Linked DNA regions of Drosophila melanogaster. The protein of the gene in region 1 interacts with the protein of each later gene in a pairwise test. Each region holds a gene or a part of one and is shown in the gene's direction. Other genes may lie near its edges. The genes, in order: RanBPM and CG17154.

Evidence for each region.
Region 2: the proteins of RanBPM (region 1) and CG17154 interact in a two-hybrid assay, tested with the Drosophila melanogaster proteins (one large-scale study listed by BioGRID).

Annotation. Positions count from the first base shown.
Region 1 is NT_033778.4:10,427,820-10,435,854, forward strand, and holds the start of RanBPM (Ran-binding protein M), read left to right. Parts: upstream 1-1,892; 5' UTR 1,893-1,964; intron 1,965-2,185; exon of another isoform or gene 2,186-2,254; intron 2,255-2,714; 5' UTR 2,715-2,766; coding exon 2,767-4,096; intron 4,097-5,219; coding exon 5,220-5,384; intron 5,385-5,452; coding exon of another isoform or gene 5,453-5,455; coding exon 5,456-5,646; intron 5,647-5,722; coding exon 5,723-5,904; intron 5,905-5,967; coding exon 5,968-6,080; intron 6,081-6,141; coding exon 6,142-6,293; intron 6,294-6,351; coding exon 6,352-6,554; intron 6,555-6,607; coding exon 6,608-6,771; intron 6,772-6,817; coding exon of another isoform or gene 6,818-6,826; coding exon 6,827-6,966; intron 6,967-7,098; coding exon 7,099-7,210; intron 7,211-7,266; coding exon 7,267-7,403; coding exon of another isoform or gene 7,404-7,904; 3' UTR 7,905-8,035. UniProt on the Drosophila melanogaster protein: May be involved in JAK/STAT signaling. Isoform D is required for the proper arrangement of niche cells and is autonomously required for proper niche cell size, isoform C negatively regulates the adhesive properties of the niche.
Region 2 is NT_037436.4:12,086,928-12,089,892, forward strand, and holds CG17154 (uncharacterized protein), read left to right. Parts: upstream 1-1,698; 5' UTR 1,699-1,776; coding exon 1,777-2,145; 3' UTR 2,146-2,298; downstream 2,299-2,965.

The DNA of each region.
Region 1 (8,035 bases):
CTTGCTGTTTGATTTTTAGTTTCACTTGGAAAAAAACTTGTTAGTTGCTCAGCTGGTAGCTGTTATTAGCTCGCACACTTGTTGCTTACTGAATACTGACTGGGAGAGCTCGCTGTCTTTTATACCCGACTGGATCAATTTGATGAAAGGGGACCGATAGAGACAGAGAACGGGAGCTGGCTTATCGTATCATATATGTACATATGTATGTTTGTATGTATAGTACGTGGTGCTGCGGGTAGACTAACAAACAACTCAGTGATAATTGGGGACATTGTGAGGGGAAAGATGAGGCCTCGTACGGGGTCTCCATATTTGTGTGAACCTCAAGAGGGGCCTTAAAAAAACCTGTTTGGGGCGTCACACAAAAATGGACTCTGTGACGAACACATTTTAGATGTAACGCAAAATGAAGTACAGTTTCGCATATTTCTTTTAATTTAAACTTGTTCGAATAAATCAATCAGTCCAGAACCAATTCCTTCAGGATCTAGTATCAAAACAGCTGATTTGATGCAGTTGACGGTTTTGCCGGCTCCAAACATAAACAGAGAGCGAGAGCGCATTTAAATGTTAAATGGTGTTGGTAAACAGAGGCGAAGCACCAACACCTGCAAACATACAGCCACGCCGATAGGCGGATATTGAGAGCGAGAGAGCGGCGAGCAACGTGATGGTATTTGTGAGTGCCTGCAAAAATCGCACACTTCCATAGATCGCACGGCTCTCCCGTTCACGTACAGAAAACGAGCCTCTAATTGAAAGTGAAGAGCGAGTGAAATCGTGAGACTGTGTGCGTGGGTCTATCGAAAATTAGCACACCAGCATAGGTTTTCTCTCAGTAAGTCACACATAAAGATGGAATGGATTTGGGAAGTCGGATGGGCAGATCGCTCATTCAGAAGGCAAAAGACAGTACGCATGAAAGCAGCCCAAATAGGAATCATATGGTTAAAATTCAATATCTAGTCATAATGGATACCAAAAATGCAACAATTGATAAGTTTAATTAGAAGAGTTCCCTCCCAGTAGCTCGATCGTGTTTCATAAGTTACAAGTACAGTTTTTGTGCTAGTGTATAAAGTCTAATCAAGAATCCAGCAACATTCGTCTCTACACCAGACGTGTGGTAATTTTCCACTGTTTATTATCAGTTACGTGATAGGATTTCTATTCGGAAAGGAAGTAACTAAAATACAGAGTGAAGGTTGAGGCGAAACGAACAAGAACGATTAGAAGAGTGAGATAGAAAGTGTCAAAGCATTTGAGAGAAGCCGTAGAGCGAACCGGTAAATTCTGCAGCATCGATAGTCTGTCAATCGAATCGAATCTTTTGAATTTATGGCGGTTTTTTTTACCAGTGCAGCGATCTCTTAATTACATTCTGGGCAGAGTACTAGAAATCACTAAAGTTTTTTGCGCTGATGCATTTTTAAATCTGGTTTCAATGTAAAACGCGTATGTTTGACATTCGTCATACTTTTATACCATAGGCAGAAGTTTCTAAGTAATAATTGCCCTTAATATTCTTATCGGTATGGCGTAAAGTATGCGCTAAAAATAGATAATATGATCTTTTTTTATAATTTAAACCAATATTTAAAAGATTAAATTAGCATTAAAAAACATAACGAATTACGTAAGGTTTAATTTTACCCAAAAAATAAGATTGCTAGCAATAGTGCAATAATACCCTCCAAAAGTATTGTCAAGGGTTTTACCTAAAAACATTTTAAGATTTTAATGGCACTTTGGGAAGTGTGTTACTGCTTATCAAATTTTGAATTTAGGCGCCTAAAGAGATTTATTCGATAAGAATAATCGATAGCTGCCGAGCGCACTCTGATGTTGTCAGGTGTCGGAATAGATATCGATATCATCGAATGAACATCGGCTTTTGTTCCAGCTCTATAGCATAAAGTCAAAACTTCGTAGATTTAACAACTCATAGCAATCGTTTGAAGGTAAATATAAGGAAATATCAACTGTAGATCCGATCAACAGCATAGAATGACAGCCAAATCGAATTCATCAGCTAAATAAAACCCCAACAAAGATCATTTGCCCCAGCTAAAAAAAAATGATAATTTTCTTCTCTGCGTGTGGGAGCTGCGAGTGTGTGTGCTTGCTGCATGCATATATGCGTGTGTGCGAGAGGGAGAGAGTGCTGCCAGTGTGTGAGCTGGTGCTTGTTTGTGTGTGTGTGGACAGTGACTCGTTGGTTAGAAGGGAAAACAAAGAAAACTTCAGAAAAGTACGACGTAAAAAGGCATTTACAAATGTAGAATAATCAAAACTGACTTGCTAGCAATGTTAAAAAGTGCAGAAAGCATTGGCTAATATCGTTTGGCTATTGATTTTTTGCATTTTCGTGCATGCAATTTTGTAGCTGTAGTTGTTGCTGTTGTATTTTTTTGTGCTGCAGCTGCGCGTCGCAACTGTAAACTGCTGTTGCTGTTGTTGTTTGTATTTTGGGTCAGTTAACGAAAGAGAGTGCACGAGTGATTGAGAGAGTGCGAATGAGGTGAACGGTGTAACGGACAAAGGACATTGCATTTTGGAAGTTGTTTGTGTTTGCTAGCCTCCTTACCCCTCCCTTCGTCACTCCTCACGTATACACACACAGCATCTGCATATGCACTTCATCCGCTCTCTCTTGCTCGCTCGTTGCTGGCTCACTCTCTCTAATTCCTCGCTGAACGTCTCTCTCTCAGCCTCCTTTTGCAACCACAACAAGATAAACAACAACGACAACTCAACCATAACATGGAGAACGTCGAAGAGGCCCCGCCACTCTCTTCGGAGAGCAACAGCAATAGCAACAACAGCAGCGCCAGCAGCAGCTCTCACCAGCTCTCTCAATCGGGAGCCATGGGTGCCGAAATAGCCCCCTCTACGTCTCGGTCACACTCTCATTCGCCCACACCCTCGCCGCCCGTCCCCGCGTCCTCTCACGACCAACCCCATCCCGATCACCCTAGTCCCCCATTGAATGCATCTGAAACGGAAGCTCGCGAGAATTCACCACATGATCACTCACCCACTCCTACTTTCCACCAGACTGCACCGCCACCCACGACTTCATCGACGGCACCGCAGCGGGACGAGCGGGAGCAGCAGCAGCAGCAAGAGGCGCCACCATTGCAGCAGGATCAGCAGGAGAATTCGCCCGCGCAGGACCAGGAGCTGCACCCATTGCTGGATCAACAGAATCAAGAATATCCCGCAGTGCACCAAGATCAACAAGCGGAGCAAAACCAGGAGCTGCATCACATAGAGGGGCTTATTCGGCACCGAGAATCACAGAATCCGGAAGAGCATCCACCACAAGCATCGCTGGAAAACCGGGAGACATTAGGACGAGAAGATACCAACCAAGAACCGGATGAGCCGCAAGTTCGAGATCCCGAAATCGAACCAGAAGCCGAGCCACCGCCACCGCTGCTTCTCGAAGATCTGGACGAGCAGGACTCCGGATCGCAGGATCTTAACGAACAGCAGCCGCCACTGATTATAGACGCAAACGCTATAGCCGAGACCATAGACGCCAACGCCGTGGAGCGCATCGACGACTACGAAGACGACGACGAGGAGGTGGATGAAGAGGAGGAGGTGGTAGAGGACCGGGTCGACAGAGCCGGCGAAGTCGCTTCCGTTTCCGGTGCCCAGCGCCTGCACTCGGTGGCCGTTTTGCCGCGCTACTCCTCAGCCTCACGAGCCCCAAGGAGCAGCAACAATAACAACAACAATATCAGCAATCACAACAACAATAATAACAACAGCAACAGTAACAGCCTCTCGCGACGCACTCGTCACTTCTACAGCAACAACGGCAGTCACTTCAGCAACGACATGTTCCCCAGCCACAATCCCCGCAGCAGCACCCAGACATCATCGCCGCGGGTCGGTGGTCGCCGCCATCACTCGACCCCCGCCGCCAGCTCCAATTCGCCACAGCACCAGGGCGTGGATCCCCTAAGGCTGCTCTATCCCAATGTCAACGAGAGCGAGACTCCGCTGCCCAGGTGCTGGAGTCCCCATGACAAGTGCTTGTCCATCGGTTTGTCGCAGAACAACTTGAGGGTCACCTACAAGGGTGAGTAGGATTCGAACTTCTCTATAAATCAACTCTCCATTTCATACCATCTAAAATAGAAAGTAGGCAACGATCAGGCAACTATAAGATACAGATTTCTTAGGAGCTGTCATAGTTCAATTCTAAATCGGTTTCATATTGCCACTAATACGCACATTTCAATTTCGCAATGAAATGTAATAATTAAATATGCACTTACATAGATATAGTTACATAGATATGGAATAAATTGTAATAAGTTTGTCTACGCTGTAGCCAAGTATGAGTATCCAGGTGGTATAAGTGCCAGAGTTCATGGAGTTTATCTTTATTACAACGATTTGACTTTGTTCTTACATTTTCAAATTTGTATTGATCTAAAGCTAAAGAGACAGTATACAATATTTTAGCCCTTAAATCAAAACACCCGAATATAAGGCTAGCCCCTACTAAATTATTACTTGCATAGTTATTAATTGCATTATCGAAATTATTATTTATTCGAAATCCCATCCACAAAATCTAATATTTGTCTTGAAGGATGTAACTCAATGCAGTAGAAAGAAGAAGAGTCGTAGTGCAGCTGCAGTTTTCACTCTCTTTCGCTCTATCTCGCTCTGGCACACACACGCACAGGGCACAGACAGGTGCTCTCAGCTGTGCACTGGTGGTTTTTGTTTTTCATAACCCACTTCTCCCACGCTCATTCGCGTGGCTGTTAAACCGCTAACAGCAACAGCTGGCTTACCAGTGCGACATAACATGTAAAATGCGCGTAAAATGTATAAGTTATTACGTAGATGGTGCGTTGCATAGATGTAAAATGTATATTTAGGTTACTTTAATTTCAGGTAAAATATATAACTCAATAATTCGAAATATTTCATTTAAATTGATAAAATGTCTCATTATTGTTTCGACGTAGACTTAGGCCAAAAATCAGTTTTTTTATTTAGAGTATCAATTTTATTATTTTTATTGTCCAGATAACCAACTCATTCATTTATGTTAAGAACATATCCCATGTACTAAGTTCGAGAGTAGGAAGTTCATACCGAATGGATAAAAGAATATTGTCTTACTGCAATGCTATAGCATATAAAAATTGAGATCTGTCAAATACTGAAACCTCATGACTTTTTAGGTGTGGGCAAGCAGCACAGTGATGCCGCCTCAGTGCGCACTGCCTATCCGATCCCGTCCTCCTGCGGACTGTACTACTTCGAGGTGCGGATAATCTCCAAGGGACGCAACGGCTACATGGGCATTGGCCTAACTGCCCAGCAGTTCCGTATGAACCGCCTGCCAGGTTTGTGTTCCATTGTGCTGCTCGGCGAGATGTGCCCATGATTCCTAATAACCGCACCCCCCCTCAAGTAGGTTGGGACAAACAGTCGTACGGGTACCACGGCGACGATGGCAACTCGTTTAGCTCCTCGGGAAATGGCCAAACCTACGGCCCCACTTTTACCACCGGCGATGTGATTGGATGCTGCGTCAACTTTGTGAACAACACGTGCTTCTACACCAAGAACGGAGTGGATCTGGGCATCGCATTTAGGGATTTGCCGGTGCGTATTCAATGGAATTTTAAAACTACTTTATCTTCTAACTTTATGTTTGTTAATCTTTTTTTTTTTTGTTTAGACTAAGCTTTATCCCACTGTGGGCCTACAGACGCCTGGCGAGGAAGTGGATGCCAACTTTGGTCAGGAACCATTCAAGTTCGACAAGATCGTCGATATGATGAAGGAGATGCGCTCCAATGTGCTCCGCAAGATCGATCGATATCCACATCTGCTGGAGACCCCAGAAAACCTGATGAATCGGTGCGTTTTTGTTAAATGTGTTTAAAAATCATGGCTTAACCCAATGACTTCTAAATTGCTTAGCCTGGTTTCCACTTATTTGGTGCATAATGCGTTCAGCAAAACCGCCGAGGCCTTCAATGGCTACACAAATCAGACTTTCAACGAGGACTTGGCATCGATCAAGACACGTCAAAGTTCGTATATTTGCCATTTGAAATGACAACACACATGCCAACTTTAAATCCACTCTTCCAGAGATCATTAAGCTTATACTGACTGGCAAAATGAGCCAGGCCATCGAACATACACTACGTTCTTTCCCCGGACTCCTGGAAAATAATAAAAACCTCTGGTTCGCATTGAAGTGCCGCCAGTTCATTGAGATGATCAATGGAGCTGACATTGAGGTGGGTTTTTAAACATTACATGCGGAAGATAAGTAGAACCGGATGGTTTGTCTTACAGAACGTGAACAACAAAGTCACCGCCACCACACAGACCATGCCCACAAACCAGACGTCAGTGATACAGTCCACCAAGACGTTCAAGCACAGCAAGAGCGGCAGTGGAAATGGCAACGTCAACATAAATCAGACTCAACAACAGAACAACACTGCGATTCCAGCTGTGATAAAGCCACAAGGCGGCGATAGGCCAGATATAAAAAAGTAAGTCAAATGTAATACTTACTCCGATCTTTAATCACAACGTACTGTTCAAGCATGTTGGTTGACGACAACTCCAACAAGTGCGTGGAGCACGACAGCAACAGCATGGACGTAGAAATGGAGCCCTGCCAGAGTCACTCCAACGGCGGCGACTCGAGCTCCAATGGCAATGCCAGCGCAGTGCGCAACTCTCTAGATGCCATCGACGAGGAAATGGGTATGTATCTATTGGCGGCATTTCCGGGAAGATCCGTAATCCCTAGCACTTGCAGATGTAGATGTTTCCCCCTCATCGCGTAACTGTGGTCGTGTGATCGAGAAGATCCTTGAGTTCGGCAAGGAACTGTCCAGCATGGGCCAGCAGCTGGAGAAGGAGAACCTAATGACTGAAGAGGAGCGTCAAATGTTGGAGGTAAACTATAAAAATGTATAAACAATAGAAACTGGTATCTTGCAGACTAAGCACTCTTTGTATTTGAAAAATAACTTCAATAAGAATATGATTATCCGTAATCGAGAGATATTCAATTTATGGTTGTTACAGGATGCATTTAGTCTGATTGCCTACTCTAATCCTTGGTCCAGTCCGCTGGGCTGGTTGCTGTGTCCCTCGCGACGTGAGAGTGTTTCCACCACACTCAACTCGGCCATATTGGGTAAGTCTTTAAACACTTGTCTCGAAACGAAGTTACTAATTACTATGATTATGCAGAGTCCCTGAACTTCGAGCGTCGTCCGCCGCTGGAATACCTGGTGGCTCACGCCTCGGAGCTGATCAAGGTGATCGGACAGCACTCGCTGGGCGAGGACGCTTTCATTACCATCGACGATGTGTTCCCGCAAAATTGACCCAGTTCCCCGACGCTGCTGAAGATGTTCGAGACCACGCTGACCCTGCCGCGAACCAGTGTGCTTACGGAACCGTTGGGCAGCGCCGGAACCGGATCTGGGCCCTCCACATCAACGGCTGCCGTGGCAGTTCAGACCAGCAAACGACGCCGAAGGCGGCGTAACAAACGTCGCCGCAAATCCTCCCTGTCCAGCAATACCGATGCCCCGTCGTCGCGGACCTACGATCCCGTGATGACGGGCAGTACGCTCCGGTCGGCAGCTGTGGCATCGGTGGGCGGGGGCACGGGCACGGGACCAGTGCGTCGGGGTCGTCGCAGGAGCGGGGTCAGCTCATCTTCATCGGCGGCAGCGGCTGCAGCAGCGGCAGCGGAGGAGGAGGCGGAAGAAGCGGAAGCGGAGGCGGCTCGCCAGGAGGAGGAGGAAGCGGAAATCTTGAGCGGAAACAGCAGCCCATCGATGTTCGTCGATCCGCAGGACTTCTTCGAGACACTGGACTAAATTTAGATTATTTACAATTTGCAGTAGGTTAAATTTTGTTGTTACTTCCGTTCTCTTTCTTTTTTACCTGCGCAACCGGCTTCAGTGCGCCTATTTAAAACTAATCGCCGTTCTTTTAATTGTTCGATTAT
Region 2 (2,965 bases), on another chromosome or scaffold:
TGACTGCCCGGCTAATAGATTTGTGCCAGATTTTAACATTTGCCAGACCAACCGGTTGAACAGTAGCTCAACTTTTACATGGGTCGCTTGTACTACCCATTTATGTTTTAGTTGTAAGCAAAAAAATAAAATAAAAAAATACGATCCGACAGAGTGAAGGTACATAAGTTCTGTAAGATTGTAAAGGTTTTGCCCTTTTTGGGGAAAAGAAAAGCAAAGGCCACACACGTTGAAATTTTGGGTTTTGTTTTTCCACTTACAAGTACAACAAAATTAGAGAAATTTTCTGAAGAGCCATACAAATGTGTAAATGTAAATAGAAACAACTTTCGCGTGGTAAAAGCCCTGGAAAAAAATCGAAGAATTTACAACTGCTACTTATTGCCAGGTCGAGCAAAAAAATTTAAAGAGTTTCTTAGGAGGTGTGGCGCATTTGACTAATCCAGAAGCCACAGAAGTTTATATAAAAAAAAAGAACGGAACGCAGAAATTTACATAAATTTAAGTTTGGCACACCTTGCCACACATTTGAATGTCTTCATTTCGTTTCAATTTTCACTGCTGTTTGTGGGTGTCGCACTCCAGAAATTATATGTATTTATGTGCGACAGTGAAAGCCATAGAAATATGATCATATAAATCAACCTGAATGCACACCCTTTTTTATGATTTTCTTACATTTTTTTTTTTTTCATTTTTGGGTTTCCGCTTGGTGTTTCAGTTGTTTTTGGTGTGGTGTTGGCTATTGTTGGGCTGCCCGAAAGGATTAAATGCTCATAAATGGCATCCAAAACGCGTGTGGTCTTTTGTATGGCCGTTTATGTGAAATCGCAGGGCAGGAGAACTTGTTTCATAAAAGAAGTTCAATTCCATTGAAAGGAACTGGGAAAGTACAAGGAACTCTTGAAACTCGCCGACTTTTAGCTTACACATACACATTGTTATCATTTAAGGAAATAAAATCAAGTGGTAGAAATGATATGTTGCTATGAAATGATTTAAGACTATATTTCATTGAAAATGTTAGAAATAAATCTAAGCTGAACTGCTCAGCGGTAATTCGGGGAATTTTCTCAAAAGATTTGGCAACCAAAACAAATTCATAGATGCATTAAAAAACCATTTGTACAAGTGGTACCCCCCACCCCCACTCCTCTGATGTCAGCCAATTCCAACTAATTCACAATAGTCGCTGTATAGTAAAAATTCCAATAGACTTGTGGAATTTGTACTGCCATTTAGCACAGTGACAGAGTCAACAACAAAAGGCCATTAAAAATAATTTGAATAAATCAAGGGAGGGTAGCGTGAAAAATTAATGTTTAGCCACTGCAAATGTCCAGTCGTGAATCAGCCAATAACAATATTCTCATCTACAACGATCAAAGAATCAATAGATGCGAGTTTCCAACCGGAGGTGCGGATAATTTATTAATGTGATTAGCATTGCCATTGTATCCGCAGAAGATCTCATGGGCCATCTTTGTTTTGGCCAGATGAAATCATAATCGTGGCTAACTCGGAGGTGTGAAGCGGCATAAAGAGATGATGGAAAATATGAATACATTAGGTCACATTCAAAGGTGTCCCAACAAGGCAAATAGATTTGACAATCTTATGATGGGTATTTTACGTACAGAACCACTTTCAAGAACTACTTGAGTATATATGACATATTTTTATATGTAATTTTCAAAATAAATTTTTTTGTTTTTCCTATCATATTTGAGCAACTATTAAAAATTCACTCCCAAAATTTTTTTCTATTAAATTGAAATGCTAATGGAGGAGAGCTCGATCCCGAACATTCCCAACGAGGTGATCAACTACGTTGAGGAGCAGCATGCTCGGCACCGCGAGTTGACCAAGCAGAAGAAAACTCTGAAGAAGTGCATCAAAAAGCTGCAGGGCATGCTGAAAATGCTAGAAGGTCGCAATGATGGACTACCGTGCACAATTGCCGCTGGCAACATCTACCAGCAGTGCACCGTGCAAGAGTTGAGGAGTAATCTAACCGCCAAGCTAACGATATACGTGGGCAAGTTCGTCAAGGTCCACCGGAAGCTATTGGGCATACACCGGGATCTTAGTCAGGATTACGAGACGATCTGCGAGAACGCAAACAGCATAGATGTAGTCAACTGAATGTATGATGATTCTATAAACATCTTGTAATACATATTCACATATATTTCGGAAATATCTGCAAGCAAAAAGCATACAGTGCATACCCACTATTTAATTTTAAGGCATATGTTAAATCACAATTATAAAATAATCAACATTTTCCACTCCTCGAAACTCATGTTCTCCGATTAAATCATGTAATGTTTCCTAGGTATTTCACTGATCATGATAGGTAGTGCTGACAACTGGTCCCAAAGACAATGGGGAGTCAAGTCTAATGGCGGTTTTCAACTTGAGCGACAACTTGGATCATTAAAGGCATTAGTGTCAGTGGCAGCAGAAGTCAGCAGGGGGCCAAGCAACCGAATCAAATTTCGTCTGAATTTTCATAGTTAAATTTCCCGGCAAAGTGGAAAATGGATGGCCAGGTGGTGGGCAGTGGGGATCAGAGGTGGAGGAGCAGAGGCGTAGCCGAGTCACCTTGTCATAATTAAATGTGTACTATTTGTCTTCGCTTTCAACACTCTTCCACGAACTCTTCGCAGCTCCACTCTCATCTCTACCCATTCCAAATAGATACCCACCCCTTCCCCTTCATCACTTAACGCCTCCACAGATGAAGCATAAACTTCGAAATGGGGATTTCTTATGATCCTAACTGTAGCTGCACCAAAGTGCATCAACATTTTTAGGAGATTACAAATGTTAAAAAAAAATGCAAAATAATATATGTTTACTAATAAAAATGAAATTACCATTGAAAATCATTTAATTATTTGCAAAACACCAATTTAAGTTATTCAATGTACTTAAAACCTGTAAGCTGTTTGTGGAAAGC